Linked DNA regions of Oreochromis niloticus. The protein of the gene in region 2 interacts with the protein of the main gene of each other region in a pairwise test. Links are inferred from orthologs where the notes say so. Each region holds a gene or a part of one and is shown on either strand. Other genes may lie near its edges.

The links. The genes of interacting proteins can lie anywhere in the genome.
Region 1: the proteins of vbp1 (region 2) and pfdn4 interact in binary tests that used the Homo sapiens proteins (3 or more experiments, as listed by UniProt). The link is inferred for Oreochromis niloticus from reciprocal best matches to the Homo sapiens genes VBP1 and PFDN4.

The regions. Positions count from the first base shown.
Region 1 is NC_031984.2:7,714,347-7,718,100, forward strand, and holds the start of pfdn4 (prefoldin subunit 4), read left to right. Parts: upstream 1-1,574; 5' UTR 1,575-1,685; coding exon 1,686-1,712; intron 1,713-3,135; coding exon 3,136-3,243; intron 3,244-3,754. UniProt on the Homo sapiens protein: Binds specifically to cytosolic chaperonin (c-CPN) and transfers target proteins to it. Binds to nascent polypeptide chain and promotes folding in an environment in which there are many competing pathways for nonnative proteins.
Region 2 is NC_031967.2:30,268,402-30,272,155, forward strand, and holds the start of vbp1 (prefoldin subunit 3), read left to right. Parts: upstream 1-1,316; 5' UTR 1,317-1,379; coding exon 1,380-1,460; intron 1,461-3,231; coding exon 3,232-3,356; intron 3,357-3,610; coding exon 3,611-3,677; intron 3,678-3,754. UniProt on the Homo sapiens protein: Binds specifically to cytosolic chaperonin (c-CPN) and transfers target proteins to it. Binds to nascent polypeptide chain and promotes folding in an environment in which there are many competing pathways for nonnative proteins.

The DNA.
Region 1 (3,754 bases), on a different chromosome or scaffold from region 2:
GATACGGCGGGTCTGTCTGAGATGGACTTCCTCCTTTTGCCCAACTATGTATATAGACTTTTGTTAACTGGACACTTTATGTGTGTGTTAAAATGGGTGGGTCTGTTTTCACGTTGGCAGTTGGATTTCCTCTGAAAAAAAAAGTGCGCTGTATTGGTGCTTTGATCAACTCACAGTAATCTCCATGTGGCATCCTGAAAATACCCTGACAAGATCATAATGAGGTGTGAATCTGTCCAAGCCCACTGTGATAAGGCGGTCCAAACAGTTTGTTGACCAATCTGGCGGGGACCTAACAGGATTAAGGATATTAAGGATACCGGTCTGGCAAGCATCCACGCTGACAAAACCAAAACAACTATGTTGGCACTGGTTAAATTGAAGAGAACACTTTTAGCATTTTTTACTGATTTAGTCTTTAAAGATGCAGTTAATTGATAAAAATAAATCTATTCACACAGATGTGCTTTAACATACCCATTGTGTTGTTTTGGTATTATCTGATTAAAAAAGAGAAAAGAGGTCATCAAGGCAGGTAACAAGCTTTGTGATAAAATCATGTCAAAATGTCTGTGTTTAAAGGCTTCCACGTGTCCATAGTTAGATACTATTGATTATCAGTGTATGTCAATATGGTACTGAAGATGAACTCATCTTTATGTTTGCTTTTTTTGTAAGTAAATAGGCCATGATAATGCTGACAAAGGCTTTTGTTTTATTGGATTTAACTTCTAGAAGTCATTCGACTCCTGGAGGACGTCAAACGTCAAATCATTCAACATCTTGTTAATGCAAGTCAATCAAAGTATGTGAATGCGTTTTATCACAAACAAGCATGCTTAAGAAACAAACTAAAAAAGACTATAACATGTGCACTATTTATTGACTTTATTATGGCAAGCCCTGGAATCCATGAAAACAATGGCTCGACTGTATCCTATAGACTGCATTCTGAGGTGGGAGTTGGATTCCCCTGTTTGGTGACTTCATGCAAGGCCTGCAGCTGAGGGGCCTCAAGAAAGCTCTTCATGGTGCACCAACGCATAACAGCCTACTAGGTATGCTAGTGGTTCCTACAAAGTTAGATAAAGACTGCTGATTTTGAGACAGAAAAACCTGCATATTTACAATTTGTTTTTCACTCAGACCAAAACGCCAGTGATGCTTAAAACTACAGGTGGTGCATTGTAATTCGGTTTAGACAAATATGAATTTCTAGTCTTCTCCCATTACAGATGTATTCATTAAATATTTGAACTTGGGTGCAGTACTGTGTGCAAATATTTACAGAACAGCAGTTCCGGTTGGCATAATAACTAGTTTGGCATATTGAAAGCACGTTTGCACATTTATTGAGATAATTACCTACAACAGAACAAAAAAAATGCTGTTTTTTTTTTTTTAAATAAATCAAATTTCAGCTTTTAGATGTAAATGTAAGGGAAAGCACCTTGCGACATATCTAACTATATTTACCAGAACATGAACTCAACTAAATAATCAAATCAATCACACAAAAACTCAAAAAGAAGGAAAAGAACTGAACAAACATTTTGAGAGAAGTAAACACATTTTCTGGCCAACTTGTGGGGGTCAAACTCCAGATCAGGCCTGCTGATAGGTGGCAGTGTGGGGATATTTATTCCGCTGAGCGACGCTGCGGGTGAACAGTCGAAGAAGCAAAGATGGCAGCGACCATGAAATCGTCCGTGGTGAGGAATATTTTTAAACAAAAATCCACTTTTTTTGTCTTGCAATTTTTGTTACTGTATCGCTGTTTTAACAAGGGATGCAGAAAGAAAGGTGGCATCGTGTATGTGTGCGATTAAGACGCCGAGCTTTCTCACGGCGGTGATATTTGAAAGCGCCGTCACACCCTCGTGTAGCTACCGTAAAGCGATACCTCCTTGTGTTAAAACACTAGCTCGACATACGTTGTAATTTTGCAGCTGTTGTTCGTGCAAGCTTAAAAACTATGTGGTGAAATAATGAGCTCAATATCCAGATCAGGGCAGTGGCCGCTGCAGGTGATGGGACACCCAAGCTAGCATGCTAGCAAACAAAATAAAAACTGGCCTGTAGTTAACTGTCTAAGAAACGACAAGCTAAAGCAGTTTATGTCCCCAATGAATGACCAATACCCTGCTCAGTCTCGTTCAAATGATATTTAAGTGCTTCTGACGGGCCAACAGCACAGTAGGACGACCACATCACAACGAGCCAAATGTGGAGCAAATGGTTTTCATGTGTTGGACAATGTGGGTCACGGTAATGCTAAGAGGCAGTGTGATAAAGCTATGCGGGTTGCAGAGGATGTGACTGACGGGTACAAATCTATATGCACCATTACAAACAACTTTCCAGCTATTGCTTTTTATTTTTTTTAATGCAATAGTCTTGTATTGCAGTACTTGTTTAGAATTTGTTCTGGTGTCTGATCTGCTGTTCCCCTCTTAATAATCTTTGTGTTGAGGAGGAATGCACTGATAAATTTCTTTTAGCACTTCGAATCAACTAAATTACAGGTTTTTGAGGTTCACAGATATAGCCTATCTCGAGGTTCAAATAAAAAATGCATAGTTTATTTATTTATTTTACCCTCTCAAAAGGGAAATTGCAGTGCAGTGCCAGCAAAATCACACCACATAACTTTTATTTGCGGTATTTTTCGATACATAGTCGACTAAAAGCCAGACCTGTGCTGTGGTGAATTGGGGCCAATTCGAAGTCCAGGACAGGAGGTGAAAAATAAAAACATTGTGCAATCCCGCATAAAGTAGGCCACTTGGTCACTCTAAATGAAACTGAACACAGCTCGTTGGTTTTACTCCTTAGGCTTGATTTAAAAACAAAAACCCCACACACATTCTTTATTTATAAGGCTTATTTTGATCTTACTAAATGCTTTTCCCATCATAAGGTGGTGGGTTTTTGTTGTTGTTGTTGTTGTTTTTCCCAGTTAACACAGTTGACATGTCCTTGTGATGCTTGTGATTTCATCTTTGGAAAAGTTGCTGCTGAACAATACTTATAACTCATAGCAGAATGAGCTAAATTCTGTCAGGGCATGTAAGATTGTCATGTTTAACAGGCTAAAATGAACTGCAAACTCAAGTCATTTCTCCTTGTTTGCAGGCAGTTGAAGATGTGAATGTAACGTTTGAAGACCAGCAAAAGATCAATAAATTTGCCAGGAACACGAATCGGATGACGGAGCTGAAGAATGAGATATTGGAAAGGAGGGTGAGTACTACCGGGGGTGGGAAGACGTGGTTTAGTCTTATATCGGAGCAAGGATTTAGAGTGTTCAATTAAATTTACAAAAGTCAAACTACACCCAGATGTGAGTTTTTATATCTAGATAAAATTATTACATTAAATTCAAAATGACAACTGGCACTCTGATCAGGAAGATTGAACTTGGTTAATGACTGGAGGAGAAGTCTGACTACTTAGCACTTTATTTGAATCGGCTTGTGTTTGAATTTAACAGAAAGTAACCTCATTCCTTTATCACTTGTGCACTGGTTTCACTTTCTAGCCTAGTTGCTGGAAAAGTGACTTTAATTAGCTGTTTGGTAAACCTTGTCATTGTCCTGCTGGTGGATATGGATATCCATGGAGATGTTTCTAATGCTCTTTTGTTGTCCTTTTACTTTAAAATGACCACAAAACTGACTCAGTCGATACTTTGGACCACATTTACTCTCATCAGCACAAACCTCTTGGTTTAAGGGAAAAAACCTGTTCCATG
Region 2 (3,754 bases):
CAAAGTTATATTTCCATGTGGTTTGCATCATGAGAAACAAAACAAATGGGAAGATATCTTCCTTGACCTTTCTTGACCATAATGACTTTTTCTTTGTCTCTCAAAAAGTTAGAATTTAAATTTAAACCACTTTATTTGAGATGTTTTGAATTGACTGAAAAACTGTAATATAAAATGCATCTGTGTGTTTTACTAGGACCCATTTCTGTTTAAGCTTGCATATTAATAGATTTTTTTCTTAAATTATTGGTGATAAATGCTAATCGAGTTCTTCTTATCCTTTCCATTTTAATTCTTTGTTTTACTGTATATTGAATTTATATTGCGTGAGCTCTCGAGTTAATCTACTCTTCACTTTTCTGTTTGCTTTTTATATTTTACTTGAGAAAACGCAGATAGGTGTGGAGATTTATTAAAAACATGACTTCCAGATGATATTCCCTGACAGTACTTTTCGGTGTCCATAATTCCCTCAGTGTTGACAAAATCCCCAAACAACATTGGCTGAAATGTTGCCCCAAACCATGACAAACCCAAGTTTCCTTACATACTGATGACGATTTAAACCAAAAAGAATTCAAGTTTTGATTCATCACTCCATACGACACATTTGTTACTGATTTTCAGTCCAGTTCTTGTGTAATTTGGCATCCTTTGACCTTTTCATTTTTTAAGCCTGTCACTTGTTCTTTTGTCCTCCACTTGTCCAGTTTCTATTTTTAAGGACGCCCTGCACATCATGCTGGGATGTGGCAGGTTTTTGGCTAACAGCTCTTTGGAAGTCATCTTATCCCTCTTAAACTGTGTGATCACTAACATTTTTCAAGTGCCTAAAGACAAGATTTTAAAAAGTATGTTATGTACAGCCACAAATTGATTCTTTCCTTGAGCCTTTTTATGCTTGAATAATTCATAGCAGTGTTATGTGGCTTATCAATGGTCAGGTAGAAAGGCTGGACTGAAAATAAATGAAAAAGCAGCTGATCTCCTGAGAAAAACTCAGAAAGCCGGGAAAACTACTGCTCAAGAGCACTTTAAAAATTACAAAAAAGTCTCGTTCCTTGGAAGTAATATACAGAGGAATGAGGGATGACTACACTTTTTTCACAGTACTGTAATTATGTTTTGTTTAGGTGGCTGGATTTATATGTGCCTTGAATGCTGTAATCATGTTACTAACACTATTATAAATCATTAATAATGTTTCATTATTATGTGTGACATTAAAAGGTTCTTGATTCAAAAAAGACTCGTTGAGCCTTTTGTGTTACTCCAGTTGCAGCCTGTGACCACTAGAAGCAGCAGAGTCTTGTTTCCCCGCTTAAGACGCTTGTACGCATGCTCGTACGTCAGGAAGGAAGGAGTATCCTCTCTCCAAGATGGCAGCGATCATAGACAACAGCAATGCCGTAGGGGCGACAAAGAGAAAGCACCTCGGGATCCCAGAAGCGGTTTTTGTGGTGGGTAAACCCGGACATTTGTCGCTGTGTCGCTGGTTTGACTTGTTATTACTCCGCTGAAGACACACTTGTAGCTGTAGCTTCCGGTGTGCGGGTGCAGCATGCTGGCTAACAGCTAAGCTAACAGACAAGCCTGCTGTGTGTGCAGGCTGGGCGGCAGCTCGTTTCCATCTATGGACATCACTGCATTATTGTCACTCTGCCTCGTTTCCTCTTTAGGCTTTAGGTCAGTTCATCCAGCCACACATCAGTCTAACTGGAGGCTGCTTTGGTGACATTAGCCTCCTCCGTGCACAATCAGGCAGTAAGATGAGCACATTTAGATTTAACGTGTATAGTGAATACGTCCCAACATATATGAGCTACTGCTCTCAGGTGTCCTGTCTCCTGACAGCTGCAAATACAGCACAAAGTTAAGTGTCACGTGATCTGCAGGTTATTTTTCTCCTTTAGAGTGTGCATTATATCACAGAGCCCACTGCCGTGTCCTCAGTGTGTTTGTTTCATCAGGTCAGCAGTTCAAAACTCCACCAAAACTGGAAAATGTTGATCTTCATTTACTTAAAAGCATCTTAGGCAATTAGTTTTCAGTAATTCATCACTTATTTCACTGCAAATCCTCACTCATGTATGTTCTTTGGCCTTTGCTGAGCAAATACAGGCCAATTACAACCAGACCTGGTCAGTCGATTACAGGTTGAGGTGTAGTCGTCTGGTAAAGTATCAGTCACACATGTACCTACATGCATGTGCATGTCAGAGCACAGTGCAGTTTAATGTACAGTCTCCATCTCCACCTGTCAGCCACCATGTCTTCCTCACACAGCTTTGCTTCCTGGATGTGTAATCTCCCCGTTTCTGCTCCCTCTATCCCTCACTCACCTGTGATGAGCACATGTACATTTCTAACCGGCTATCAAAAGCTGAACATCAGATTCACAGATATTATAAATGTGATTTTATCATGTGTTTGTTTCAGATTTTTATGGTGGAAACAGTTTGAGCTGTTGCAAGTCCCAACAGATCTTTCACAATAAAAGCCTTGTCAAGAAATGAAGTGTTTCTGACCAGTAAGAGTCTAAGAGGCCATTAATTTGAAAGACATGGTACTATGAGGTCTTTAAGATACATGGGGCCTGATTATTAAACATCTTGACAGTGTAATGAAGTAATTTGGTGTAAAACTAATTCCTGCATCTTCAGCAGGCAGTTTGAGTGCAAAGTTCTAATGTTGTTCTTTATTTAGAGTTGCCTTTTATTTGTCCTCATTGACGTCCAAATCACCAGCTATTCCATAACGTACAATGTTTTTTGTTACAGAAGAGTTGACTTCATAAGTTTCTTAACATTAACTTACTGAAAACATGGCATGAAGATGCCATTAGAAAAATTTATTCTGAAATGATTCCGCAATTTGTAGACTGTTGAGCCTCTGCCTGTATTTAACCCTGAGGAAATCTGCCTCTCTAACATGCTCTTTTTATACCCAATCTTGTGACTGACCTGTTGCCAGTTAACCTAATTAGTTATAAAACATTCCTCCTTCCTTCCTTCCTTAGTACCACTTTTGTTGCCCTCATCCCAACTGCTTTGGGATTGAGGTAGTACATAATCTCTCCAGTGTGTCCTGGTGCCCAAATCACCTCGCTCATGAGGCATCCCAATCTGATGCCTAAACCAGCTCAACTGTTTGCTTTCTGGTTTATTGTTATTGTTTAGTTCATTGTTAGTTAATCTTGGTTCATTCTTTCTCTCTTGCCTGGATTTTCAGGAGGATGTCGACTCTTTTATGAAGCAGCCCGGCAATGAGACGGCGGACGCGGTGCTGAGGAGGCTGGACGAACAGTACCAGAAATATAAATACATGGAGCTCAACCTGTCTCAGAAGAAACTCAGGTGACACCAGTGAAGGAACACTTAACCTTGTTGTTATGGGCTTAGACAGAGATTTGACAGGTCATTAGAGTTTGGTGTTAATATGGGACACCATCAGCTGGTGGACATCATTTCTGAGTGATAATCAAAGATTTGGACAGATATTAAAGACATTTAGTGAGCTGTTTAAAGAAGGGCATCAGCAGAATTTAGACGAATAAGGACACACACACACGTTTCATAATAACATCCAAATCACATCTCTTTGCTCGCAGGTTGAAAAACCAGATCCCTCAAATCAGACAAACGCTAGAAATCCTACGACACATGCAGAAGAAGAAGGTGCGTACGGTTGTTGTGAACCAACTTTAAAATGTTACCATTGTGTGACACCAGTGTAATTGTGTGTTGAGCCTGTT